Diceros bicornis minor: one gene and its partners. The protein of the gene in region 1 interacts with the protein of each later gene in a pairwise test. Links are inferred from orthologs where the notes say so. Each region holds a gene or a part of one and is shown in the gene's direction. Other genes may lie near its edges.

Region 1 (7,478 bases):
CATTCAAAATTTGAAGTACGGTTTCTACTGAATGTGTATCACTTTCACAACATTGCAAAGTTGAAAAATTGTAAGTAGAACCATTGTAAGTTGGGGACTGTCTGTACAGCCCAAGTAGATGCCACCCAAGGAGAGAGGGAGAAGGAGAAAGAGAAATAGCCTGGCTTCTCCCTTTCTCTCACCCTCCAATACCCCACCTATACCTCTCATTGGCTAAATCCGTTCTGAAGCCGGCTGACTTGAGAACATGGGGGCCATGCAGGGACTGTCTTTTCTGTGATTCAGAGCAAAGCAACAGAAGTGCAAGGAATGTACCCGATAGCAAATAGGCAAAGATTATGCAGAAGGCTTAACTAACTTGCCCAAGATCACTGGGCTAGCAGTCCCGTGGTTGTTCTTTGGAATTTGTATATATGTAGCGATCATGTGCTCTGAATAGGGGAGATAGAGGTCTTGGTAAGTGCATTAAACACTTTCTGATATGTAGTTTCCTCTATCCATATATGTTGTAGGGTAATTTCAGGGAAATGCATGCCTACCACGATACAAGGGGAAGAAAGATAAGAAATGAGAAAGGGTCTGGGGACTCGAGGCCATTTTCAGTGTCAGAGTATGCCTTTGGGCATGTTCAAGGTAAGGGGAGCAAATGATCAAGGCAAGAAATCTCTACTTTTGTGATGACTCTCAGTTGACAAAGTAGCTGTTTCTCCATGTAGACCTTGGTTTCAAAGTAAACCTTGTAAAGAAATAGTTCACATTAGACTAGACTCCTTTTTTAATTCACAGAACTCTTTCTCCCAAAACTATTCCAGTTGAAAGTGTCAATATTGGCAGAAAACGTGGAGGTACTATCCTTTAACATGTAAATGCATCTCTTACCAATCTAAGAGGTTATGGGATGGGGCAGGAAAAAAGATATTGGTGGCACTTAGGTATGAAGTGTAGAATTAAGTGAAGTAGATTGAATATGACTGTTATAGGCTAAATTGTGTCCCCCCAAAATTCACACGTTGAAATTCCAACCCCTAGTACCTCCGAATATAACCATATTTGGAGATAAGGTCTTTAAAGAGGTGATTAAGTTAAAATGAAGCTGTTAGAGTGGGCCCTAATCCAATATGACGGGTGTCCTTACAAAAAGAGGAAGAGATACCACGGCAGAAGGTCAAATGTATATGAAGAGGCAGCAAGAGGGTGGCATCTGCAAGCCCAGGAGAGAAGACACAGTAGAAACCAACCCTGCTGGCACCTTGATCTTCGACTTCCAGCCTCCAGCACTATAAGAAAATAAATTTCTGTTGCTGAAGCCACCTAGTCCGAGGTATTTTGTTATGGCTGCCCTAGCAAACTAATAAACTGACCAAAGAAGCAACATCTAGAGACTCTCAGTGTGTGAGGCACCATTGACAGCTGGAGATGCTAACAATGATATGCTCTGTCATATAAAACAATATGGCTGCCAGGACCACAAAGCTGTCCCAGTTGGAATGAGAAATTAGAGTTAGAGATACACTATAAAAACATAAATAAACTTGTTTTCTTGCCTTCATGGCTGTTCATTTAATTCAATACACATTTTATTGTGCACGTGTTAGGCAGATAGTACTCTTACAGGTGCTACTCTATGACCACCCTATCACAGAATGACATCTCTATCACAATGGTGACATCATAGCAACCTACTCTTTGAATGATTGCTTATGGTTACCTTATCCCAGAATGTCAATACACCTAAAGAAGGGAAATAATTCTGATCCTCCTCAAAGTAGATTTAAGAACCACTCTTTTGTCATGGAAATTGTTCAAATCTATACTATGAATTGAATGTTTCTCTCTTATTCACGTCTTACAAATGTGCTTTGGCAACATATTAGACTTTTGGTGTCCAGAAATGGATTTTTCAAACTCTTTCTAAACAAAGAGAAATGAAGAGTCAAGATAGAAGAATACCAATTTCCCTGGTTCACATACAAGGCACATACTGAATATTGTTAGAAACATCATCTTGATCCAAAATAGAAAAATAGACTTTTAGTTAAGAACTAAATTTTTAATTTCATGTGAAATCTATCACTTTATGTGTTTACCTGAGTGTCAACAATCTAGAGTAACGCAACAGTTTAGGAATTATCAAGCAATGTCCTGAGGATATATAATTCCAAGAACCATACATATTAAGGTGGACTCATGAGCAGCAAAACTGACATTGTGACAAATTTTTAAAATGAATTAGGATATCTGGCAGTGGGTCCTATGTGCAATTTTATCTCAAATTCTCATCCTCTATTCATTCCAATTGTACATTTTCTAAAAAAGAATGTCCACAAGGAAACTTGAAATTTTCTTCTCGAAGTTCTACAAAACAACAATTAAGATCAAAAATAAAAATAAGTAAAAAACCATTAGAAGTAAGCTGGGAATGAATGTTCAAAGTGGGCAAGTATGACTACCTTATAAAGAGCGTTATTTGATGATTATCTGGTGAGCTTTGATAAGCAATTTTTTTTGTACAATTAAAAAATTTAACTCAGAGGAAGATTTATTGCCAAATTCTTGAAATTAAAATTTAGTATCTGGCAATATTTTCTTTTAACCACAGTACTAGATTTTTATGTTAAATTTAACTTTCTTAAATTCAAATGTCATGAACTGGATAGATTTTTTTCTTTTAATCTATAATATGGAGAAACAGGAAGTTGATATGTTGGAAAGAACTTTGGTCTATAAACGAGAAAAAATGGACTCTAGTATGCTTTCTTTGACAAGTCACCATCTTTGGGTCTCAGCATTCTCATAAAAAATTTGTGCATTCTATCATAAGTGTTGCATTATTCCTAAAATTCTGGGTTTCCAACCATTTCACAACTTTACACATTCTTCTGGAAAAGACATGAGATATCAATAAAATAAAATTTGTTAAAATCAAATGAGCAAATAAATATGAAGACGCAAGGGAAAGATCTTAAAATGTAGTTGAAGATATCTAGGGTACACAGCAAAGACAGTTGTAAAAGCCTTAAGAGTTACCATGATCCATGATTATTAAATAAAGCCAGATAATATTTCAATGATCATTTATCAAGCTTTCTTTTCTTGTCATCAGATTAAAAATTATACCCGGATTTGCATATGTGAGTATAGTATTTCTAACAATATGCACTGATTATTCCGCCCCTCCCGCAGCCGCACCCTCACCTCCTATCCCCAGATTAGCTCGTGAAACTTGAGGTATTTTTGAGGCTAGAGGTTCCTTTCTCAAGGTTAGGTTATCCTTGTAATTCCATATACAGTCAAATATTCCATGCGGGGTGGTTAACTGATAATTGGCAACTAGGATGCTAGAATTATGTACCATCTAGGTTGCCTGTTGTATAGATCATAGTTCATTTATATCAAATCTCCGGGAAATAAACCTTATTTCTCCAGAGCCTAGCAGTGACTGGCACATGTTTGAATGAATGAAGTAGATGGAGAATGTCAATATTCATTTATGTAATGATTAGTTAAGGAAAAAAGTACATTTCAGCATGAGAACTTCTGATAGCCCTTTGCATAAATCACACTTGACTCTTCCCTTCAGGCAAGTTGACTGCCTGTGAAATTCCTAGAAAACCGAGGGGAGAGGACCGGAGCCGGCGTTCCGGACCCAACGCGGTTTGGGGACGTTACCGGGCCTGGAGGGAAATGTTCGCTCTCGGAGGAGTTCGGAAAGCCGGCGAGCCGCCAAGTCCTGGGCACGGGGAGGAAGCTGCCCTCCGGCCTCGGCTTGGAGCTTTGCGGAGCCAAGGACAAGCGTCGCGCAAGCTGCCGCAGGGTTGCCTCCGAGGCCAGACCCGCGGGGCGCGCCCTCGCCCCCCCGCCGGGAGCGCGGGCCCGCGCGGGGCGGGGGCGGGGCCGCGAGCGGGGGGCGGGGCACCGAGGCGGCCCCGCCCCGCCCCACCGCCCCGCGGGTCACAATGTAGGGTTAGGGCGGCCGGCGGGCGGGGCTCGGCGGGGGAGGAGCCGCCGGGCGGGGGCGGGGACGGCGACGGCGGTTGGGGGAGGGGAGGGGAGGAGGAGTCGCGGAGGGAGAAGGACAGCGCCATTCCGGACGGCCGCTCCCTCCGTCCCCTCTCCTTTCCCCGCAGTGGCCCGCGAGCCGCGGGCGAAGGAGCGCGCGCGCCTGACGCGGCCCGCCCTGCTCGCGCCCTCCCGGCGTCCGCCGTCCGCTCATGGCCCGGGCCGCGGCCGGCGAGCCGCGCTGAGGCGGGCCGCGCGGAGTCGTGGGGCCGCCGCCGTGGCCCTCGCTGTCGGCGCCTCGCCGCCTGCCCGCGCTGCCCGCGCACGCCGGCCGCCATCGCCTTCGCGCCTGGCTGGCGGGGGCGCTGTCCTCCCCGGCCGTCCGCGCCGCTCCCTGGACCTCGGCGGAGCGCGGCAGCCAGGGCCGGCGGAGGCGCGAGAAGCCGGCCGCCGCCGCCTGGGGCGCCGCCGGCGCCGCGGGGGCCATGACCGTGGAGCAGAATGTGCTGCAGCAGAGCGCGGCGCAGAAGGTGAGGCGAGCCCGCCGGCCGGCGCGGCCCCGCTCCGCTCCTCCTTCCGACGGGCGGCCTCCCCCGTCTCGGCCCGGAGCCCGGCCTCCCCGCCGCCGCTCCGGCCTCCGCCGCCCGGGGCCTCCTCCCTCGCCCCTTCCCGTCGCCTTCGGGGGCTCGTTCCCAGGGCCGGGCTGCGTGTGGGAAGCGGGGTGTAGTTAGGGGGTTTCAATCCACTTCCTTCTGGCCGATTGTTTTTCTGTAACAGACGGTGGCGGGTATTTTTTGAGAGCGACCCATACGTTCCTCCACTCCTCTATCTGGTTTCTTAAACTTTCTCCTCTGCCTTCCTTTTTTTAAAAAATAGAATAGCCAGTGGTCATCCCTTCTGAACACAGTTTGTGTTTTGAAGATAGGAGCATTCCAGGCCTGCTGTATGCAAATGGTCTCCACCAGAATCGAATTGCCTGCCTGGCGGGGCAGGTACATTTACCAGGTGGGCTCTGTGTATAGGTAGAGGATTTGGTTGGTTCCTTTTCCTCTTTCTGTTTCTTTTTCCTTTTTTTTTTTTTTTTCGTTCTTGAATATAGAGATTGGCCCTTAAGAAAGGAAACCTTTCTGGCCATGTTTATTCCAGGAATCTTTTGTCCCCTGAGTTTGACCTTGTTCCGTCGCTCACCCTTTACTCTTGACTCAGTCACGCATTCAAATGGTCACTTACCTAAGTAAAAAAAAAAAAAAAAAATCTAGGTTTGTGAAGCTTCAAACATTTTATAGTGAGTAGTGAGAAATGCTCCTCTTATTCTAGATTTGGCTTTCAGAATCTCAAGTGCACCATCATGGCTTGCACCATTTCCTGAAGAGTAGTAAGCTATGAGTTAATTTTTTTTTTGTCATTTGTGTGAAAAGCGTTTTGGGCAAAAGAAAAACATTGCTTTAGTCGTGTTGGAATTAGGGGGGTAACTAGAGTTTATTGTGAGCAGCTACCAAGGTTGTGTTGGGTTTATCTGGGTGAGTAACGAATGCACCACCCTGTTGTAGTTATGTCCTACCTGTGCTTCATTTTAGAATAAGGTCTGATATCCTAAAATGGACTATGTATATACTCACAGCCTTCTAGATTTTTGCTTTGAGATTATTTTTAGAATTTGATGATAGTACTTGAGGTAATTGAAGATGCTCAAGAATTTTGGAAAGCAAGGATAGTGCATTGTTATTTTAGGCACTTTGGGAAAGTTGTCGTTGGAGCTCTTGTGTGTTAGTTAACTGTTACTGGTTAAATTTAGAAGATTATTGCAGGCTGCAATTTATTTACAGTGAAATAATTCTGCATTTAATATTGGGAGTTTAGAACAGTTTATCTCCTAATCCCCTTTATTCTATTTTGAATACCTTAAACTTTAGTTTTTGATGTTGAGTATGTGATAAAGCGTTAATACTTAGAGCAGGATCTCGTGGTCAAATGTATACTAAGCAATATTTAATAGGTTTGGTATCATTTTTGTTTCTAGTTCTCTTCAGTGTTGAATATTTAGTCAACACTGCCAATTTGTTTCAAAGTGGGAAATGTAGCTCATATTTTTCACATCTCTTAAATTTGAACAATGGCAAGAAGTTTGTGAGTTTTTTAAATTGATTTTCGTTAAAGTACTTCTGTAGCATAGAATCAGATAATGCAGATCTGCCTAGTTCAGAAGTTTATGCATAAAATTATGGGATCAAGAATCAAATTACTGACAGTAATCTTGGCCATCAAGTTTAATTTCCTAGTTTAATGAACCCCTCCTTACACAAAGGGAATAGTTGTTAATCCAGAATATTACCATTATGATGCTGTTTTTAGTGTGTGTGTCAGATCATTTCATTGATATTGGGGAAATTTTTTTAGAGCAATATAATGCATTTATTTTTGTATTTCCATCAAGCTGCTTATGTTTTTTTTTAAAAAAGAAACACTTAATATGTTTGTTTGCTTTCCGTATTGACATAGTATTACTTTGTTACTCATATTGGAACTATTTAAAAAATACTTATATGGGTATAAATACTTTAAAGCCATCGACTTCAAATAAATTGATAGATTGAAGTCCACCAAGTTGGTAGCTAGAAAGTGGACTTAAGCTAGTAACTAGGAAGTGAACTTCATACTTCAGAAGAAACAAAAGTGAAACTCTGTTTTCACTTAGCAACTTTATGAATTATCAGTAAAATGAGGTAACTAGTTCATATTGCATAACCAAAATTGAGCCTATTTTCTGCTCTCCTTAAAGTGATTGTGTGTGTGTATGCATGTATATAGCATTAGTTTTATGTAAATAGCTATATTCTGGTGGTTGGAACGGATTCCTATATTTTCAGGATTCTTTTTTTTCTTCCAGAAAGATGAATCTTTCATATAATAATATAGTAATTCTTAGTTTAAAAAAAAGCACAACGCAGAACTTTCATAGGTCTTTTTTCAACTACAAAGTAGCTTGTCACAGTATATTTTAAGGCAGGGGGCTGTCCTTTCCTCTGACGTGTTCTTTGCTTGATGCTGAAGTTTGGCCATGGCAGGGAGTTATGAGATATAGTAAAACTGCAGAGAGCTGCTTTTCTGAGGTTTAGATGCCACCGGTGAGGTGGAGTTGGGGGCAGATTAGCTGCAGTTAAATCCTGCCATAATTTGAGTCTCGAACATGCATCTTCAGCCTTTGAGCTTGATATTGACCTAAGTGTAGGATCCTTAGAGCTCAGAAATTTGATACCTAGATTCAGGTACCAAATGAGGATTCTTTAGGGCAGCAATAGAAGGCTTCCTCCCAGGGACCAAATTGATTTATAGAGTAAAGTGAGCTGGATACTATTTGCATTAAATGCATCTTTCTGAGTTGAATAAAAGATCAGGTTCATAAGGGCAGGTATTTTGCCTGTTTTGTTTCACCCTGGTTCCTTGCACATAGTATGTTTGAGTAAATATTTGATGAGTGT
Region 2 (7,044 bases), on another chromosome or scaffold:
TTTTTGCTAAGGAAAATTGGCCCTGGGCTAACATCCGTGCCCATTTTCCTCTACTTTATATACAGGATGCCTGCCACAGCATGGCTTGATAAGCAGTGCGTATGTCCACGCCCGGGATCTGAACCTGCGAACCCTGGGCCACCGAAGCAGAGCACGTGAACTTAACCAATATGCCACCAGGCAGCCACAAGAAAAGAAACTGAATATCTATCTCATACCATACTCCAAAATCAAGTCCAGAAGGATTAAGGACTTAAATGCAAAAGGCAAAAATTTAGAAGAAAATACAGAATTTCTTAAACACACACAGAGACACAACTGTAAATGAAAATATTTATAAATTCAACTATATTAAGATTTAGACATCTTTTCATTGGGGAAATAAAAAAGCAAACTACAAACTGGGAGAAGATATATTCAATGCATATAGCTGACAAACAATTAGTATCCAGAATATATAAAGAATGCCCACAAATCAATAGCAAAAGGCAAACAACCCAATAGATAAATAGACAAAAGACATAAATAGGCATTTTATTGAAGAGGAAATACAAACAGACCATAAACATCTAAAAAGATACTCAGGGCCGGCCCCGTGGCTTAGCGGCTAAGTGCGCGCGCTCTGCTACTGGCGGCCTGGGTTCAGAACCGGGCGCGCACCAACGCACCACTTCTCCGGCCATGCTGAGGCTGCGTCCCACATACAGCAACTAGAAGGATGTGCAACTATGACATACAACTATCTACTGAGGCTTTGGGGAAGAAAAGGAGGAGGATTGGCAATGGATGTTGGCTCAGAGCTGGTCTTTCTCAGCAAAAAGAGGAGGATTAGCATGGATGTTAGCTCAGGGCTGATTTTCCTCACACAAAAAAAAAAACATTAAAAAGATACTCAACTTTATTTGCACTTTTTATACCATCTAAATCATTTTTAAGTGTACAGTTCAGTAGCATTAAGTATATTCACATTGTTATGCAACAGATCTCCAGAACTTTTTCATCTTGCAAAACTGAACCGCCACACCCATTCAACAATAAATTCCACATTACCTCTTCTTCCCAGCCTCTGATAATCACCACTCTACTTTCTGTTTCTATCTAGCTGCATTAGACACTTCATGTCATGGGCTGAATTGTGGCCTCCCTTAAATTCATATGTTGAAGCCCTAACCCCTAGTATCTCTGAATGTGACTATATCTTGAGATAGGGCCTTTAAAGAGGAAATTAAGGTTAAATGAGGCCATGTGGGTGGACCCTAATCAATCCGACTGCTGTCCTTTTATAAAAAGAGGAAATTTGGACACAGATACCAGGGATGCACATGAAAAGAGGAAAGGCCACGTGAGGACACAGAGAGAAGATGACTATCAGCAAATCAAAGAGAGAGGGCTCAGGAGAAACCAAAGCTGTCAACACCTTGATCTTGGACTTCTAGCCTCAAAAACTGTAGAAAATGAATTTCTGTTGTCAAAGCCAACCATTCTGTGGTATTTTATTATGGCAGCCCTAACAAACTAATATACTTCATATAAGTGGAATCATACAGTATTTGTCTTTTTGTGATTGGCTCACTTCACTTAGCATGAGGTCCTCAAGGTTCATCCATGTTGTAGTATATAACAGGATTTCCTTCTTTTTTAAAGCTGAATAATATTCTATTGCATGTATATACTACTTTTGTTTATCCGTTCATCTGTTCCTGGACATTCGGGTTGCTTCCACCTCTTGGCTGTTGTGAACAATGCTGCTATGAACATGAGCGTGCAAATATGTCTTTAAGACCACGCTTTCAATTCTTCTGTATATATACGTAGAAGTGGGATTACTGGATCATACAGTAGCTCTATTTAAAATTTTTTGAGGAAACTTCATACTGTTTTCCATAGCGGTTGCACCATTTTACCGTCTCACCAGCAGTGCACTAAGGATTCCAACTTCTCCACATCCTCACCAACACTTATCTTGTTTTCTTGATGGTAGTTATCCTAATGGATGTGCAGTAATATCTCATTGTGGTTTTGATTTACATTTCTCTAATACTCATTAGGTATTTTTTTAAATGCAGACTAAGACCTCTTTGAGATACCATTTACACCCACTACATTGGAAAAATTAACATGACAATACCAAGGGTTGATGGAGACAGAGATTAAAAAAACTCCTACATGCTGCTGGTGGGCATGTACATTATTAACAATTTCTTTGAAAAACAATTTGGCATTACCTTGTAAAGTGAACATTCTAGTTCCCTATGACTCAGCAATTCCACTCCTATGTAGTCCTTTCCTGCAGTGTTTTTCAAACTTTGGGAAACCGCTCATTTGTGAGTTCTGTAATCCATTTACTGACAGTCACAATTAGCATCTTTTAAACACTAGAGAGGTGAATATTGTTTTATTATTTTGTGAAACTTTTGTTTTAGACATGTGAGTGTGTTTACTGGTTGAAGACACCAACTGCATTTCTTATACTATGGGTAGTGGTCAAAAGTTTGAAAGCCTCTCATATTAAATTCTTGCACAAGTGCACCAGGAGAATATATAAGAATATACATAGCATTATTGTTCACAATTTAAAAAATTGGAAACAAACCAAATGGCTAGAAGAATTGTAAATCTGTGGTATATTCACACAAGGCAACTCTATAAAGTAATGCATGAATCTGACAAACATCTCCTTAAGTGAAAAAAGATCAAAGACTGGCATTTTTTTAAAGCTCAAAAACAAGTATGTAAAACTGAACAATATGCTGTTGACAGATACACACATGGGAAGGGATTAATAAGGACAAAGTAGTAAACAGGGAATAATAAACAAAATTGGGAATACATTTGGCAAGTGGATGAAATGGGGAGAAAAATGATAAACGCAATAGTATCAGTTGTGTTCTAGTTCTTGGATGCATTCATGGATATTTATTTTATTAATATGTAACAATTTAAATTTATACTAAATATATTATGCTCTTATATAATTACGTAATTTACATATTTATAAAAAGCTCCCAAAGTGTACACCCTCTATCTTTTAGCACAGTAGTGAGTCAACATTCCCAAATAAAAACTGCATTTCCTGAAAAACAGGTTAAGAAGTTAAAACAACAAGGAGGGAAATGCTTGTCAGCATGCCAAATGTCAACATGTATCATTTTATGTAAGCATACCTTTCTTTTAACCAGTTTCTTGAGGATAGTGCATGGAAAGTAGGGAATGATCATCAACAGCTACATGGCTACCTTAAGCGTGAGAATCAATTCTGTGCTTTTCTTGGTTCAATGGTAAAAAAAAACACAAAAATTGCAACACATTAAGTTTTTTCTGCGATGCGTAAACCCAGTGTATCCACACCTCAGCCAAGTCAGTATAACGATTTACGTATGGGCCCTTTCGTTAGTCCTGAGCTAATAAACTTAACTATGGAAAGAGAATTAATCAGATGACAGCTGATTATCGTTAATTTAGAATTGGAACAAACTTTCATCGCTTGCCTAATTTCCTTTCAATGATCTTGGGGCAGCTCATCAAAACTTCCCATCAAGTGGAGACAGACTCCTTCATTTCCGAGAAACGCCTTACAAGAAACAACAAAATAAGAGTTGCGGGGGAAGAGAGAGTAAAGAAACCAGAAAAGAAATGCCCCAGGAGAAAGGGATTGTGGAAGGTGAAAAAATAGAAAATTTCCACACTAAAGAATTTCAAAACAATATGTAAGATCGAGGGAAAACTTTCAAGGGCACTTTTCAGTGTAATAACAATAAGGGAATTCAGCTCGGGAAATCCGTGCCTTAAAAAAGGACAATAAGCAGACTCGTTGGACTTCACCAAAACCCACCGCAAACATGGCGCTGGGACGAAGCCCCTACTCCGCCAGCCGCCAAAGCCTTTCGCCTCACTTTTCCCACAAACCCCTCCGCGCGGCCCGGTTCGCTGAAACCTGCCGGGCCGGCCTCCGACCACTGCGCACGCGCGGCACGACGTCACGTGCGCTCCCAGGGCTCCGCGGCGCTGGCAGGAGGGGCCTTGCCAGCTTCCGCCGCCGCGTCGCTTGGGGGCTCGAACGGCGGGTTCGCGGTGCTTACGCTGCCGCGGAGCAGCCGGGGGTCGCAGGGCCGAGCGAGGAGCGCGCGGCGGCGCGGCCATGGGACTGCGCCGAGCCCGGTGACAGGAGGGAGCCGAGCGGCCCGGGCCCTGAGCGCGTCTCCTGCGGGGGGCCTCGCCCTCCTGCTCGCGGGCCCGGGGCTCCTGCTGCCGTTGCTGGCGCTGCTGCTGGCGGCGGCGGCGGCCAGGATCATGTCGGGCCGCCGCTGCGCCGGCGGGGGCGCGGCCTGCACGGGCGCGGCGGCCGAGGCCGTGGAGCCGGCCGCCCGCGAGCTGTTCGAGGCTTGCCGCAACGGGGACGTGGAGCGAGTCAAGAGGCTGGTGACGCCCGAGAAGGTGAACAGCCGCGACACGGCGGGCAGGAAGTCCACCCCGCTCCACTTCGCCGCAGGTAACCCGGGCCAGCGCCGCCTCGCCCCAGACCCCACCTGCGCACCCGCGCTCGCAGGCCCGCAACCAGACACAGTGCTGCTCTGCCCCCGGCGCTCCCCCAGGACTGCGGTCGTGGTCCTCTCCCCCTCGTCGAGTGAGGACTGAAGACGTTGGGCTAGGGGGCCAGCGTGCCGCACTCACTGGAAGTTTTTTTTTTTTGCTTTGTTTTGTATCAACAATACCTGTACCAACTTCCGGTCTTGCTACTCTAAGAGGCCTCCACGCACAAGAAAGAGTAGGGGACGTAGTAGACCTTGCGATTCGAAAGGCCAGTTATCTCCAAAATCTATCTTCTTGCAAATTCCACTATAACTGTTATCAGTCCTTTGGGTTAAAGTCTTCAAGGCCCTTGTAAAATGCAAGGATGTAATTTAGGAGGAGTAGCTTAATTGGCCATTGACACATTAGCGTTAATGGGTTTATCAGGGTAGTTATTAGCAAGTTTCTGGGGAGACTAGAACTGGAAATAGTCGAGTTTGGGAGAATTGAGATCTGACTTAGGCTAGGAGCGGCCGGGTAGCCTCCGCCACACACACAAGTTGAGGTGGAAAGTAGTGGGATGAGAGGAAAGATGGTGTAGGTACTTGAGCTTGGATCTAGAATTTAAACTGGGACTAACCTCGCCTCGTTCTGGGATTTAGATCGTTTGAATTACTTTCTTTTAATATTTACTAGGTTCACTTTATGATATAAGCATATTACATTCACTTAAAGAATTTAAAAGAGCTAGAGATGAGAGACACTCAGCTTATTTCTATAAAGCATTTATACTTTTCACTTTGAAGAAAGATGCAACTGTCTCTATCCTCAAGTGGGCCATGCATGATTGAAAATGGGAGTAGAGTCTCATGGTTCTGATAATCCTGATTTTTTATTTTGTGCGTTACATAATTGTTTAAAATAATTTTTTGAAAAAGCAGAAGGATAGGTTTTAAAGCTCTCTGTTCTTTTCGAATAGGGATGAGCAGAGGAGCGTTAAGAAAGATTTCCTTATTCACAGACATTGCTTGTACACTTTCTACCAATTGGAGATTTGTTTGCTTTAACCTATCCCTGTTTTAAAATATAAATACTAGTAGGAGGTATGCTTTCTTGATCAATTAGAACTTTGTTGAGTTCCCGTTGAGGAGCCTTTTTAAGGGAGAAGGTTTGGAGGACCGTTGGCAGGAGAGCTAGAAACAGTCTGTGGCAGCAGAAAGGGAAAGGAGAGGAATACTAAAGTCAAATCTCATTTCTTTAGCCATTTAGCCTAAAATTTTTGTGATCAGTGCTGCCTTTGCTCAGCTAATTTGGGTTGTCCTGTTTGACCATGTGGTCACCCTTAAACAACTGATTTGGCAAACTGTCATAACCAACTGATATGCAGTCCAAAGGGTAGTGTTACTTAGATTCTGTTCACTTGATCTGTGGGGTAAAAATAACCAAGGAAGATCTTAGTTGCTACCTTTCAAGAATTCGGTGTATTAGTGAGTTCATATCTGAAAATAGTAATATTTAGGGGTTTAACCTTATGGCATTAGCTTCTTATTGACATTATTCCTCCCCCACCGTCCCATCCTCCCTTCTGTCCCAACATTTCAGAGTACTTTTTACATAGATTTCATGTGGTTTGTTCAGACTGAAATGGAAAACCTAATTTTAGGATCCAACCCACCCCTCACAATTTACCCAAATTATCAGGTACAGGTTATCAGATTAAGAATTTAAGGTATAAGAAAAGAGTAATAAAATGAAAATTCTAATGGTCTACATTAAACCAGAGCTTTAAAGCCCTGCATTTAACCCAGGCATATAAGAAACTTTTTTAAAAATTAGCTTTGTAAATCCAATCTAAATTATTAATTAGATTAATGAGAGAGAACTGAATTTTTAAATAAATGCATCCAGCTACATTTTCTCTGTATATAGGGAATACCTTTTGTGATCTCTTTTGTAGGTAGTGAGTTATCAATTGTATTAATGTGCATGTAAGCATGCCATGGGAAGCTCAACATAGGTAGTGGGACTATGTAACTGCCTGACCAAGCAGTTTTTTGTGTTTGTACATTATAGAGTAAGCCATAGGGGGAAAAAAATCTTTTTCTTAGCCAGTTAAAGTTTGGAGGTTTTATTGGGGGAGGGGAGGCACGTTTTTGTCTTTTTTTTTTTTTTTGATTTCCAGGGAACAGGAATAAGATTTGTGCAGAGGAAGGAATATGAATCAATGATAGAAGAACAGTTTAGTCTTTTCATCTAAAATATTTAGTTCAGTTAAGAGAATAATCAGTTGCCAGCCCCAGAGGAGTTAAGTTCTTTTGTTAATGAAAAAAATAATCAACATAAATAGGAACTTTTCTTCTAATAGGTGCTTTTTATTAGTGAACTGGATTACATTTCTTCTAGATAAGTGTGCTTTAAGAAATCATTTCTGGGCCGGCCCCGTGGCTTAGCAGTTAAGTAAGTGCTCTTGCTCCACTACTGGCAGTCCGGACTCGGACCCCGGGCGGGCACCAACACACCGCTTCTCTGGCCATG
Region 3 (7,897 bases), on another chromosome or scaffold:
GGGTATAGCCATACAAAGGAACATCATTGGGCAATAAAAAGGGATGAAATACTGATACATGCTGTATGAATGAACCTTGAAAACATAATAAATGAAAAAAGTGAGTCACAAAGAGCAAATATTGTATGATTCTATTTATATGTAATGTCCAGACTAGACATATCTATACAGACAGAAGGTAGATGAGTGCTTTCCTAGGGGTATGTGTGTATTGAGGGGATGGGTTGTGTGGGAGGGGGGAGAAGGGAGAGTGACTACTAATTGGTACAGGATTTCTTTTTGTGGTAAAAAAAAAAAAGTTCTAATATTGATTGTGGTGATGGTTGCACGACTTTGTGAATATACCTAAAATAACTGAATGGCACACTTTAAATGGGTAAGTCATATAACATGTAAATCATATCAAAAAAAAGATGTTAAAATTGAAATGTACTTTTGAAAAAAGAATTAGAAGATCTTGGTGTGCAAAAAGCCATTTGCTTGAAGTGATTTTCATTAAGGCAAAAATAACAGCTTGAACTACCTTCCAATGAAGTAAGTATATTTTTAAGGAGGAGTCTGCTGGGCAAATGCATGGTCACCTGCTGAGATATGAGAAGGGGGAGTGACTTTTGAGCATAGATTTTCCCAACCTTTTTCATCAATCTCCAGTGCTTAGAATTGTGTCTGGCAATGAGAGACACAATAATTGTTAGCTGGCTTGAATTTCACAAAAAATAAGCAATCAGAGGTGCACACAGGAGACCTGACTTGCTCAGAGCCCCGCGCCCAGGAAAGGGCAGCATTTGGAGGATAGCCCACGTTTTCCGACCCCCGGTCCGTGTTCTTACCCCGGGGTTTAGACGCATATGGTCTAAGTTCAAATGCCATCCTTTGTCCTCAAGTAACTTTTCTGTCTTTCTGCTCAAAACCTCGCTGACAGCAGAAAAGGAAGGAAGTCTGCCATTTGTAAGTGAAAGGTCACTTTTATATCCCAGTTGAATTGGTGAGGGAAGCCAGCGTTCTGTGGCATTATGGCAGATAGACAGATGTGACCAGGCGTTGGGAAGCACTGAGATAAAGTAATTCATCTTATGATTCTGTCAGCAATGCCGGTCTATCAAGATTAACTTGCCTTCATAAGACAAGATAGGGTTGAGTCGTTACATTTTGTAAAAGGTACAACTACATTTTAAAATGGTTACAATGGTGAATTTTGTGTTGTGCGAATTTTATCTCAACTTAAAATAATTTGTATAAAAGTACACGTGATGCTGTCCTAACTCTGGAGCTTCCTCCTTTTTGTGCCAATAAAATGTTATGAATTCAATAGTTGGAGTTGAGTATTCTTTTACTTGCAACCTAAAGCATCCTATTGGATATCATGTGTACCCTGTGTATTTTTAATTTGAAAGAGATGAAAACTGAGGACCTTGCACTCTAAATATTAAAATGTACGATATATATTCTATAGGAAAAAAAATGGTGTGGCATTAAATTCTGGATAAAGTGGTGAAATATTCAGGAACTATCTAGAAAAAAAAGAACCTTCCCTCCCCAAGGAAAAAAGGGAAGGGGGAGAAAACAAAAATGTAAAAGTTACCAATAGTAACCAAAAGGAGAAGCACTTAAGGAGGTAAACTTCAAAAAGTGCTGGCTCATATAAAAACCGGAAGTTTGAGAGAATCACGGTGGGGTCATGAGCCCACCTCCCGGAAAACACATCTTGTGAGTCCACGAAATCCTGACAATTCTCACTCAGATCTCAAGAGAAGAAAAAGGAGTAATTGCTAATCCTTAGCTTTTCCCCTTTTTGATGATGGGGTAGTAAAAATGGCTGCGGTGGAGATGAGGGGAAAAAGAGAAATGGCAGCAATCTGGCAATACTCTGTCACGAGTGTGAGGGCTCCAGGGGCCCACAGGAATTGGGAGACTGAGCTGATGTGCAAAGGTCCCCCCAAAAGAGTGTGGTAAGCTCTTCCCTCTCCCTCTGCCATGAGGGGTGAGCCCTCCTAGGTTCAACCCAGTCTCCTGTGGAAGGAGGAGGAGCCCAGTTAGCACAGCAGGACTCCAGCTAAGCCCCGCCTGCTCGAAGGCTGTAGAAAATCAGGCATAGAAGGAGTCATAAGCCCTCAAACTGTAACCCAAAAAGGGAAAAGAAAAAGGATCTGATATAAGGATCCAGGAGCTGTCTCCCACAGAGGAGCAGAGCAAAAAGAAGGTCTGGAGAGAGCTGCCAAGCATGGGAAGGTCAGACAATGAACTTGTAACTATGCTGAAAGGGATAAAGCATCAGCATAAAAAGATAGAGGATAAAGATTCAGAAGGGTTTGTATTTCTCAACAGCAGCACTTGCAGCAAGAAAACAATAGAAAAATGACTTAAAAATTGTGCAGAAAAATAATTTCTGAATTAGAATTCTATACCATCCAAACCATCAATCAAAGTGGAGAGTAGGGGGCCAGCCCGGTGGCTTAGTGGTAAAGTGCGTGCACTCCGCTGCTGGCCAGGGTTCAGATCCTGGCTGCGCACTGACGAACCACCTCTCCGGCCATGCTGGGGCCGCGTCCCACGTACAGCAACTAGAAGGATGTGCAGCTATGACATACAACTATCTACTGGGGCTTTGGGGGAAAAAAAGGAGGAAGATTGGCAATAGATGTTAGCTCAGAGCCGGTCTTCCTCAGCAAAAAAAAAAAAAAGAGGAGGATTAGCACGGATGTTAGCTCAGGGCTGGTCTTCCTCACCAAAAAAAAAGTGAAGAGTAGAACCTTTTTAGATATGGAAGGTCTTTAAAATATCTACTTCCATTTCTCAGGAAACTCCTCGAAATTGTGCTCCACTGAAATGATGGAATAAACTGAGGAAGAGAAAGGCATGGAATACAGGAAACATGGACTCCTAGATACAAGAAAAATGAAAGGAAGGCCAGAGCAGAAGCAGAAGAAATGAATCCTTGAGAAACTGTAACCACAGGTTGACCAAAATTGTCCCCAAATTTCCAGCCCAAATTTGTATCACCTTGATGGTCCAAAAAAACATAAGCTGAGAATCCACCTTAAATTGTCCAAACACTAGTTGCACCCTAGGCTTCTGCCAGAAAACAAAGGCAAATTTCCTCTGAAAGAAAATACCTTTTTCCTAGGCCTCAACGAATCTCCACAAATAATTTTTCAAGGAGGATGAGCGGCTCACAGTTGAATGTAACCAAGAACACAAGGAAGCCAGGCACCATGAACCAGAGCCAGTGGAACACTTGACAACGTAAGCAGACACCAGAGACTTCATATGGTGGAATTAATACAGCAAACCCAGAAAACAAATATATTTATTATTTTTTAAGAAATAATGAATCTACAGGAATGGGAGACTTTAAAAAGTGACTGTGTCAGGAGTCTCCAAGACCATCTGGGTGTGAGGTGCCAGGACTCAGCAGAGTCACAGCTGAGATTTCTTACAGTGAAAGACAAAAAGCAAAGTCTGCAAAGGGAAGCGGCACATGGGCCCAGGAAGAAAGACTGGGAGAAATGTGATGACTTTTAGGAAGATTTTTGTCTAGGTATTTGCGTGATGATTTTAACATTTTTATTTAAAAAATTCATTCCAAGAATACTAATTCACTTTTAAGTGAATTAGTGAGAAGGACCACAGCAGTGCTAGAGGGGGGCTTGGAGATGGATTTAGAACTTCACCTCCTCTCATTAGCCTCCCCTGAGAAACAAGCAATCTTAGCAAACACAGGACGGTCCCCAGGCTCCTACTTCCAACGACACCGCCAGCTCTCAAGGCCTCCGGAATAGAGACATCCGCAGCCTCCGTTCAGAGAACAGTGGCTATTTCGTTGTTGGTTTGAGGCAAAGTCAAGTCCAGTGGTTAACAAATGTAATCATAATAAAAATCCTTCACTTGGGTTAAAAATTTGACGGCAAAATGGCATGGAAGAGAATGTCCAAGTGGGAAAGTGTCAACACTTCTGATGACCTTATTTTTCTCCATGGCAATTATACTAACACACTATACATTTGATTTCGGTTATTGTATTTTGGCTCAGGGTATAGCTTTTTAAAATAGGCACTGCCAACTACTGTTACCAAGAATGTGAGGGTCTAGAAGCTGTTTTATGGGAACATTTTGCAACAGAGCTGTCCAACAGAAAAAAGCGGGAAGGGAAGCAGGTAGGTGTTTTTAAACCATTTTAAGGACTACAGAAAAGGATTAAACTTCATTTATGAGCCCCAGACGTCAGAACCGGTTGTGGGTAGAAGGAAGCACGTTAAACTCACTGTCAAGAGCCTTGTAATCATGAAAGCCCTCAGAACACGGCCGCCTCAGACATTGCTGGGCCCGCCCTGACGTGCCCCGTGAAGTCTGCCGTTCACCTAAGGGAGAGGCCACCTGGCGGATTCCTGGGGCCTCCTGGTCACCGGCCGGCAGGAGCGTCTTGGGTTGGTGACTGGGAATACACAGCACAGTGAACAGGATTCTGTTCCTGGGCAACTACACAGCGAAATGGGCGTGCCCCTGAGTGGCTGTCGGTCCTTAGAAGGATCAGGCTGCAGGCGAGGTGGCGAGAGGTTCCTGTTGGTGACAGGGCCCCTTCCTTGTACAGGACCAGCCTTCTGCACCTGGGAGGAAATCGGAGCGCCCACCAGCTCCTCTCCCCTCTGCACTCGCGCCTCCCGCTTCCCAGGCCCACCCCACGGACCGGGTCCCCGCGCGCTCCGGCCGCCGCTGCCCTGCCCGGGGCGCACGGGACGCTGGGGCACTGGGGGCGCACAGGGCGCTGGGGCCGCTGGGGGCGCTGGGACCATCTGGGCGCTGGGGCGCACGGCGGCGGGGCGGGCCCGGGGCGGCGGGGCGCGGCGGCCGGGAGGAAGTGCGGGGCCTGCCCGGGCGCGTTAAGGAAGTTGCCCAAAATGAGGAAGCGCCGCGCGCTGGGCGGCTGAGGCGACTCCGGCGGCGAGAGAGCGAAGAGGAGCGGACGGCCCCGCGCTGCGCCCCGAGCTGTCCCCGCGGACGCACAGCCCGCCGACCCCGGAGTCCCGCGCCCCGCCCTCGCCACACCTGGCACAGGTAGGAGTGGCCGCGCGCTCCCTCCGCCCGTGAGAACCTGGAGGACCTTTGGGCTGGGGCGGGCGGCGAGGGAGGAGGCGGCGGTCCTCCTCCTGGGCGGGTTTCTGTGCGCCCAGCACACGGGGCAGGTACGCTCAGGGCCTTCGGCCTCTGAAATCAGGGAAATTTTGATGAGATCATTCGGATAAAACGATAGGCTGTGCCAGCTTTTCTCCTAAGCCTAGTGCCTCTCGGGGTTCGGCTCCGGCGCGGGGCGCGGCGGCTGGGGCTGGCCCGCGGACTGTGCGGGCCGGGACTGCGGGAGCCCGGCGAGCGCGCCCAGTGCGGAAGCGGCGGGTCCCGGGAAACGCGAGCGGGCATCCGCGGGCGCAAGAAACTCGTCCCCGAAAGAGCACATTTTCGTTTGGCCGTGCTTTACATAAATCCACTGGAAAACTCCACTGTATTTAGCGAAGTGACTCAATGTAGAAATGTTCGTATGCCTGCAAAGGTTTTTATATACATTTCTTTTCCTACAGAAAAAAAGAGCGGTTGCATAAAAACGTGCAACTCTCTGAACCACTACTAAAATTTACCATGATTCCTCTTTTTTCGGCGCATTTTCATGGTAAAGTAACTTAATTAGCCAGTGAGTGGCTCGGAGAGCAGGAAAGTTTCATGTAGTAAAATGAAAATTTGAGTTAAATATTTTTTTAGCAATATGGCTCCAAAACCTGAAACCCACCTAAATAATCGTACAAATGCTATTCATTTTTTTGGTCGTTTGAATGTTCTAGAACGAGAAAGACAATCATTGGAGAAGTTAGAGTTTGAGTCTTTTTAAGTTGGAAACGGTGTTGCAAATTATTTTCATGAGTTTGCCTGACTCGCCAAAGGTTCCATTGCACCTGGTAAAACTGTTCACTGGAGCAGTCATTCTTTTTCTTAAATCCCCGAAGCATTTCAGCGTGTAGTTTAAAGAGCTGGAGATGTCCCACATCTGAATCTTCACATTAAAAAAAATTAATTATGTGGTGACTGAGAATTTCTGGAAGAAATGGAATTGATTCTAGTATCTGATTTCTTTGTTTTAGTAAGAACAAATTTATTGTTATTACACGGGCAGCATTTTAATTAAATGCAGTTAAATTTATCGATGTGCCCCCACCCCCCAAAAGCCCAGATGGTGCATGGATATACTTGTATTTGAGCTAAAAGATTTTAATACTTGTAGAATATTAGATGTTTTAAGTAAGAAATCTCGGTTGAAATTATTTTATCAAATCATTTTGTTCTATCTATACATTTGATGTATTTAGAGAAATTTTGCAGTAAAATAGAAATTGATTTGTATTATTCTCTGTATTGGGAGTGCTTCGATATGTAAGATTTTATGAATAGTCTTAATAACTAGAATGTTTTTAATGTTTTAATCTGGGATAAAAATGAAGTGTATACTTTAGGTCTTTACCTTTCCTGAAGGATGAAATTGGCAGAAAGATCATTTTGCTAGATTTGCATTTCAGAAATAACTCACCACAGCCTTCTCTAGGCTCATATTTAATATTCCAAGTGTAGGTCTGATTTCTCCGTTTTTAAACCAAAGACTTCTTAGTAGGATACCACTTATGCAGCACATAGCATGTCCATGACCATTATCCAAAATCCTTGTGCTAAGATATGTTTTGGAATTCGGGATTTTTCAGACTTTAGGATTCAAATTTAGAATCTAAATTTCAGCGTTGAGAGGGACGTTTCTCAGAATGCAGAGAGGTGCGCATGCGTCCTGACACCATGTGCGCCATCCGTCTTCAGCGCGGTCTCAGCAGTGCCCTGCCGTCTCACCCGTTAGTGTTTCTGCGCTGACCGTGTGAGTGGTCTCGCTAAGGGGAATAAAGACAGCCTACAAATAGCTGCGTGTCAGCCTAGGGCAAGTGTGGTCACTAAATGAGCTTCCCTAAAACTTACCCCCAAACCCTGTTTTTCAGAGCTTTTTGGAGTTAGGGCCCAGGGACTGAGCCTATTAGATCCCATCGAGCTGCCGTTTGCTTTTGAAAGCGAGTTGCATTTCTGTTGCCAGAAAGTCACACTGTCCAGGGATTAGATGAGCAGTTGCCGCCTTTTCAGGAGCCCTGAAATGGCGAGACCTTCCTGACTTTTCAATGATAGTGGCCCACATGGAGATCCTCCGAGTGAGGATGGATGTCTCATCCTTAAGGAGGTGCTTTCAAACAGGAACCGTACTCACAGGGGGTCTCGTCCCCCCTTACAGCTGCCGTGTGTCCTTGGGAGAAGTACTGTTTCAGAGCCCTGCGGTGGCTCTGTCTGTCAACTGTGCCTGAGGGATGGCGGGCTCTTTTATAATCTGAGCTCATTTTTGCTTCCTCAACTTTCACTGTATAGATTATTTCAATTATCTGCAAACTCACCTCTTCTCTCCCCGTTTGCAAGTTTTAACATTTTCCTCCACTTCTGGATTGGGTTAGCTGTAAATGAGTGGAGAAAAAAATTAGGAATTTTGGCCTTTGGGGAGAATTTTTTTAAAAACAAATGGACATTTGTTTTTCTTTTGAAGCAATTGAAATCAAAAGGCAGAGTCTTAAAGAGAGATTGGAGTTAAACTGACTGACTTAAATTACGTCTGGTCATCTCACTCTTCTACTTTGGATTTGAACAAGTTAGTTCTTTTTCACTTGGAAAAGGAGGTGTTTGTTTTTTGTTTTTTTACTGAGCAATTGTGGGAAGATAAGAAAAAACTAGGCTGATTGGACTTTAAAGGAAGAGTTCATTTCTTCATTTTGATATAATGGCAGAGAAGCTTTCTATTAGCTTATAATTGTGTCTGACCAAATGTTAGCTTGCGTCA
Region 4 (7,056 bases), on another chromosome or scaffold:
GAGGTATATAGCCTGTCCAGGCTGTGCTATTGCGCCAAGAGTGGGTATATCTGGCACACAGTTTTTCTAGAAATTAAAAGAAAACAAAAACAACATGCTATTTTAACACTGTACTTTAGAGAATATCATTGGGTGAATCTTTCAATTAATTGACATTGCAAATCTACTATTGTCACAACTATTTGGGGGAATATATTCTTGTATATATCTAGAAATTTTTCTTTTGTGTGTGTGAGGAAGATCAGCCCTGTGCTAACATCTGCCAATCCTCCTCTTTTTTTGCTGAGAAAGACTGACCCTGGGCTAACATCCGTGCCCATCTTCCTCCACTTTATATGGGACGCCGCCACAGCATGGCTTGCCAAGCGACACCTGGGTGTGCTCCCGGGATCTGAACCGGCGAACCCCAGGCCGCCGCAGCGGAGCGCATGCACTTAACCGCTTGCGCCACCGGGCTGGCCCCGTAGAAAATTTTTAAGACACTCAAAACAATGGTTATTTCTAGGAATGGGGAGGGGAATTTTTTTTTTTTTTTTTTTTTTTTTTTTTTTTTTTTTTTTTTTGTGAGGAGATCAGCCCTGAGCTAACATCCGCCAATCCTCCTCTTTTTTCGCTGAGGAAGACGGCCCTGGGCTAACATCGGTGCCCATCTTCCTCCACTTTATATGGGACGCCGCCACAGCATGGCTTACCAAGCAGTGCGTCGGTGCGCGCCCGGGATCCGAACCAGCGAACCCCGGGCCGCCGCAGCGGAGCGCGCGCACTTAACCGCTTGCGCCACCGGGCCGGCCCCTGGGGAGGGGAATTTTTATTTTCAATCAATCCCTTTCTACAGTTTTGTGTGTTTTTTTCGCCATGAGCAAAAGATTATTTTTTAAAAGATATACCCTGATATATGGAGAGGCATCTCTTACCTCTCCTCTTTTTCTGCAAAGAGACAATAGCAGATGCAGCAGGAAAAGTTTTAACATTATAACTCTGTACAGCATATTCTGGTTTCTAAAATATTTTCATGTTTTCTTACAACTGTAGTCAATTATAACTAAAGTGACTTCACCATTTTTTCAACCAACATATATCAAGAATCCATATTGTGCTAGACTCTGAAGATACCATGATGAACAAGGCTGACACAACACCTGGCCTCATGAGGCTTACAACTGAGTTGGGAGTCAGTCAACACACACTATTGAGCACCTACTTGTTCCAGACACTGTTCTAGGTGGTGGGGAAAGAGACGTGAAAAAGACAGTGAGTTCCTCTCCCCAAGAAGCAGAGACGGGGAGTGGGTGTTAATGTGAGAGAGACAATAAACAACTTAAAAAATAATAATTTCAGGTAGATCCATGAAAAAATTTAAACCAGGGTAATGTTGTACCTATCTTATGGAGTTTTGTGGGTCTTAAATGAGATTATCCATGTAAAGTGTCTTGAATAGCGTCTTGTCTAGAGTAAAGGGTTAATATATGTTTATTATATATTATTAAAGTTGTTGGAGAAGTCCTCTCTAAGGAAGTAAAACATGACTTGGAACCTGAATGATGAAAAAGAGGTAGCCATTCAAAGATCTGGGAAGACAGAGTTTCAAGCTGAAGTCACCTCAACTGCAACGGCCCAGAAGCTAGAACCAGCTTAGCCTGCCGGAGGGACGAAAGAAAGGTGGTGCGGAGGGATGACAGTGACTGAGACAGAGAGAGAGGAAAGAGATGAGGCTGGAGAACGTGGCAGGAGTCAGATCATGTGAGCTCTCTGAGGCCCGGTAAAGAGTCTGAACTTTATTCTAAAGTGTAATTAAGCACTAAGAATAGATGTGACACGATTTGATTTATGGTTTCATGAAAAAGACCACTCTGACTACTGGGGAGGCTGTTGAGGGAAAAGAGTGGAAGTGGAGAGACTGGAAGTGGAGAGACCAGCTGGGAGGCAGGGGAAGGATAATGATGGATTAGCCTAGGGTTGTAGAAGTAGAAATGGGGAGAAATGGCTGAATTTGGGATATAATTTGGAGAATAAAGTTGACAGGACTTGCTAATGTATTAGATCTGGTGGTTGGTGGGGAGGAAAGGAGGCAAGAGATTTATCAGGGATGATTAAATTTTTGGTCTGAGTACCTGGGTGGGTGGTGGTGCAATGAACTAAGATGGAGGAAAACTGAGAGCAGGTTTCAGGGGGAAGGGAGGTCCAAAAAGAAATCAATGGTTCTGTTTGCCCATGTTAAGTTTCAGAGGCTGGTTATATTTGAAGTGAAGATATTGTATAGGCAGTTGGCTAACTCCATCTATGGCTAAGGAGAGAAGTCCACACTGGAGGTATTTCAAAACAAGGGACAAGACGAGATCACATGGTGACTAACAGTAGATATACAGGAAGACAGAGGGCAGAGGGTTAGATATTGAATTACAATACAGGGAGATATGTGCTGTGAAAGATGAAATACCAGGTGAGTGGAGAGAGAGGTTGGTCAGGGCAAGTTCCATGGAAGAATTATATCTGATCTCCTAGAATCCATGGAAAACCAAGCAGTGACATTCTATCAGTGAGGACACTGGCCCAGAGAGGTACTTTGCAATTGGTCACATAGCTAGTGGTCTAACTGTAACTTTCTTTTATATTTGAACCACTGTAAGTCAAATGCGCCACAGCGTACCCTATTAAGAGGCAGAATAGCTGGGCACCTGGGGCACAGGCTCTGGAGTCATTCTGCTTAGGTTCAAACTCCAGATCTGCCATTTACTAGGTGGGTGACTCCAGGCACCTTACTCAACATCTCTCTACTTCAGTTTTCTGATCTGTAAATGGGCATAGTACAAATAGCTAACTACTTATGGTCTGCTTACTATGTTCCTTGTACTAAGATTTTACATAAATTATTCAACACTGCCCTCCAATCATCAATGGAATTGAGTGCTATTATTATCCCCATCTTACTGATGAGGCACCGGAAGCATCTTCACCCATTTCACAAACATTTGTGTGCCTGCTATGTGCCAGACGTGTTGAGGGTATATCGGTTAACACAACAAAAATCTTGCCTCTGTGCAGCTTCAGTCTGGGGAGAAAGATGATAAACTATAAAATAAATATGTACATTATATGGTAATTAGAAGATGATGAATGCTATAGAAAAAAACAGAGCAGGATAAGGGAGCTAGAGAAGTTGCGGTTTTAAGTCGGGTATCCAGGGTGGACCTCACTGAGAAGGTGACATTTGAGCAAAGGTTTGAAGGAAGTGAGACAGCGAGCTACCCAGGTATCTGGGGAAAGAGGGCTCAGAGTTGGAACAGCAAGCCCAGAGGCAGGCCCTCAGGCGGGAGCATGCCTGGTACCCATCAACAACGCCAAGAGCACGCCGGGAGATTCCTGAGATGTGCTGAGAGGCAGGGGCTATGTGTCCAGTTCCAATAACTTCGACTTTTACTCTGGGTGAGATGAGGAACCATTGGACACTTCTGCCCAGAGAAGTGATATAACTTGACCCCCTACATGGGTGGTTCTATTTAGGCCCAAGCTCCACCCATGCAATCTGACGCTGGAGTCCGTGCTCTCAGGACTAAAGAATCAGCCGCCACCACAAAGGCTCAGCCACACAGCAAACGCCCGGTGAGCGCCGGCCTATCACTGTCGTTTCCACGACCCTTTCGCTTAAACCCCGCCCCGACCTACCGCCCTGACCTACCGCCCTCTAGTTCCCCAGCTCCAGGGCTGGGCAGCCACTTAGTCCGGTCTGCACGTAGAGCTTCCCCGGCTACGGATTGCGCAACTCGGGCAGCCGGGCGGAGCCTGCACGTAGGCGGAGCAGCTGCGGGCGGGAGAACGCCCCGGCTGGCAGACGCGACGAGGAAACCCCGCGAGCCCCCGAAACGCCCACTGACTGCGCCTGCGCACGCCCGATCCAGGCCGCCGACATTCCAGAGCCGCAATCCGCCCCGCCCCAATTCCGGGGCGGAGTTCCCGGCCGCGCCTGCGCACAGCCTCGCCGCACCCTACGCCTGCGCTCTTCGCTAGCCCGGCACCATCCCCAGGTTCTTCGGGTGGGGGAGGGGGCGCGTCTCGGCGAGTCACGATGATGGCGGCCACCAGTCTGTGGTGAGCTAGCGGATTCTCTGCTGGTCTCGCAGAGCCCCTCGCGCCTCCTGCAGACTCCGGGGCTGGTGCCGGGCGCGTGAGGAAGCACAGCGGCCCAACCTCGCGGGGAAGGCCGCAGTCGCGGAGGCAGCGGCGTGGCCCGGGGCCAGGCCTGGGGGAGAGGCCGCTCCACAAGGCGAATGTGACAAGCCCCCACCCCCACCGCCTTCCTCCTGAGTGCGCGAGGCGCGCGGGCGACCCCGGGGCCCCGCCAGGCCACAGACCCCGCCCAGCGGCCAGCACCCGGAGCAGGCCCGGCAGCCGAGCTGCGCGGCGGCACCATGCGGGTCACCCTGAAGACCCTCCAGCAGCAGACCTTCAAGATCGACATCGACCCCGAGGAGACGGTGCGAGCGGCGGGGAGCGTGGGCCCGGGGCGGGGCGCGGGGAGCGCGAGGGGGCCCCCGCGCCTGGTCTGCGCGGCGGCGCTGCGTGCGGGGCCCCGGCCTCAGCTCCGAGCAGGGCCGGCGGCGCGCCCGAGCGGGGAGAGCCCCCGGGCGCACCCGGGGGGGCGCGGCAAGCGTGGAGTTCGGGCTCCGGGCGCGGGCAGGGCCCGGGGTCCCGGCCCGTCGGAGTCGGCCGCGGGCTTTGTGGCGGGAGTGAGGGGAAGCGGTGGCCGGACGCCGCAGGCCTGGTGGCAGATGGCGTGGAGCACACGTCGGCGGGGCACGGGAGGCCTCGGCCTGGGAGCTCTCGGTAGCGGGGCCCGGGCTGGGGCGGGGCGGGGGGGGCAGGGCTGCCTGGGCGGTGGAGCCGGCTCCGGTGTCGGTGCATAGGTTGGGGGGGGAGAGGTAGGCGTCGCCACTACTCCTGCGTGGACGGGTTAGGCGCTAAGGTCTAGGAGGCGGTAACCGGAGATAATGAGCCTTAAAAAGATAAGTATCCGGTTCGGTCTGCAGCAGAGTGAGAGATGAGTGGTGAGGGGTGGTGAAATGAATTCTTGGCCCCCTTTCTCCCAGAATTGGTGATCCTTTTATTAGTATTGTTGAATCATGTAGCTGCAATTCTCCCGCCATCGAACCCACACCCACACGTAGATGGCACTTTGAGGCCTGTTTGGTGGTGAAGATTTTTGTATTAGAGCCCTTCCAGTATAGGCTCAAACTCAACTCCAGATAAACGAGGCCTCTGTGTTAGACGTCTTGGAATTGTGGGAGTTGGAAACACTGCACCCTCCCCGCAACCCCCACCTAATAGCGTTTCAGGGGAGAAAAAAGAAAATTACTTTGAATCTCTTCTGCACTTAAACCCTTGAACCCTTCAGAAGTCCACTGGTAAATTCTCATGCCATCTTTGTATTTGTGACTGCAAAAAGAGCCGCTGTCGAAATCAGTACAACTTCCTGCCAAGAATCTAAAAATGCCATGAGTGTAAATTTACTGCTTATGTTGTGGAGTTGTGATTCTGTACTCCGTTAAGATTGTCATAATGCTAAGTTTAAGCCAGCAACTTTCTGCCCATCTATATTTAAAAAAATATTTTTGATTCTATTTTTGGTGGAGATCAGGGGCCTCGGTGTTAATTGAAGAGACCTGAGTTCCATTTGTGGCTCTAATTTATTTGATATGACCTTGGGCAAATTAATCTCTTAGTTGCACCCTCTGCACAATGGGAATAATAACTGCCTTGCATAGGTGTGAAGATTAAATGGTATTTAATTGGTGGTCAATAAATGGTATCGATTATTAATCAGCGGAGTGAGGATATAGTGTTATTTTACCTATCTCGTTTAATCTAAAGTTCTCTACATCTTTAATTATTTAAGAAACGTAGTTCCCAACCTTTTTGAAATTGTGGCACAAAATGATTTGATTTCAAGATATTGTATGTAGAAGTATTCTGGGTGGTAAATTCTTAAAGGTGCACGAGGTAACAACTACATATGAGAAACTTTTCAGAGTCCTCAGAAGTAATTGACAACACGCTGTGGATTGATATTATTTACAAATATCAAATTCTTCTTGAATATTCCTTTTCTGCTTAGTGTGTACTAAGTTAAAGGATTTAAAAGTTAAAATCCAGCTGTTTAACATTTTCAGACAAAATTTTACATAAAATGTCTATTTGAGTCTGGTTCTTTGTAGTAATAAATGTTAGTGCTACAGGAACTTTACCAGCTTATAATATTCAGAATTAGTTCCAGAATTATTGAAACCTGAATTTTTTGTAGGTATCTGTGGGTTTATTGAAGTTATGCAATGACTTTCCACAGCTCCGCTGAAATATTTATGTTCTACAAGATTTGTATAGCTCTTTAGGCACTTTATGCATACGTTATCGTAGAGCCAATATTATATTTGTATAGATTCTTAACTGTATTTGCTGTTTTCCAATTTATTTCCAAGGGAATGTATTAAGTTGTATGAATTATAAATATATTTCCAGAAGAATATTTTTGGAAGCCTCAAGGTTACAGAGAGTGGCTTCTTCGGCTTTTTGTTGCTATTTCTATACATGTAATTTTGTTGCCATTTATATAAATATGACCACTAACATTGTTAATCTGGGGCAAGAAATGAAAATATTTAATTCATGATATATGGAATATTTACATTAAAATGACATGTAGGCTTTTATTCTAATGGGTTTAAATTTCAGAAATGCTTCTCCAGCTAGAACTATTTTAATTTCATCTTTATAGTGGTTTTTCAATTAATATTTATTTTTGATACAGTACTTGAGAGTAGGATTCCAGTAAGAAATAATAAAAGTTATATTAATATAGGGAGACTCTAAGTGTCCTCTTTCTAATTGTTGTGAAAACTAGATAACCAAAGATATTAGAAACAGATCTAAAATACAGGGAAAAAATAGCATTTTAGTGAGGCCTTTAGGAAGATCTGCATAAAATTAACAGAGTTTGGTCTCTTAGACCTCTTATTTTGGCTGCTCAAAGGTTTGTCCTTGTTTGATTTTTACCTAGAAGGAACT

What was found.
Region 2: the proteins of USP25 (region 1) and TNKS2 interact in a two-hybrid assay, tested with the Homo sapiens proteins (2 studies listed by BioGRID and IntAct). The link is inferred for Diceros bicornis minor from reciprocal best matches to the Homo sapiens genes USP25 and TNKS2.
Region 3: the proteins of USP25 (region 1) and SYK interact in binary tests that used the Homo sapiens proteins (3 or more experiments, as listed by UniProt). The link is inferred for Diceros bicornis minor from reciprocal best matches to the Homo sapiens genes USP25 and SYK.
Region 4: the proteins of USP25 (region 1) and RAD23B interact in binary tests that used the Homo sapiens proteins (3 or more experiments, as listed by UniProt). The link is inferred for Diceros bicornis minor from reciprocal best matches to the Homo sapiens genes USP25 and RAD23B.

Annotation. Positions count from the first base shown.
Region 1 is NC_080766.1:18,039,471-18,046,948, forward strand, and holds the start of USP25 (ubiquitin carboxyl-terminal hydrolase 25), read left to right. Parts: upstream 1-4,464; 5' UTR 4,465-4,484; coding exon 4,485-4,529; intron 4,530-7,478. UniProt on the Homo sapiens protein: Deubiquitinating enzyme that hydrolyzes ubiquitin moieties conjugated to substrates and thus, functions in various biological processes including inflammation and immune response.
Region 2 is NC_080745.1:57,701,787-57,708,830, forward strand, and holds the start of TNKS2 (poly [ADP-ribose] polymerase tankyrase-2), read left to right. Parts: upstream 1-4,025; 5' UTR 4,026-4,290; coding exon 4,291-4,489; intron 4,490-7,044. UniProt on the Homo sapiens protein: Poly-ADP-ribosyltransferase involved in various processes such as Wnt signaling pathway, telomere length and vesicle trafficking.
Region 3 is NC_080761.1:55,627,985-55,635,881, reverse strand, and holds the start of SYK (tyrosine-protein kinase SYK), read left to right. Parts: upstream 1-4,876; 5' UTR 4,877-5,052; intron 5,053-7,897. UniProt on the Homo sapiens protein: Non-receptor tyrosine kinase which mediates signal transduction downstream of a variety of transmembrane receptors including classical immunoreceptors like the B-cell receptor (BCR).
Region 4 is NC_080767.1:16,537,071-16,544,126, forward strand, and holds the start of RAD23B (UV excision repair protein RAD23 homolog B), read left to right. Parts: upstream 1-4,035; 5' UTR 4,036-4,406; coding exon 4,407-4,472; intron 4,473-7,056. UniProt on the Homo sapiens protein: Multiubiquitin chain receptor involved in modulation of proteasomal degradation. Binds to polyubiquitin chains.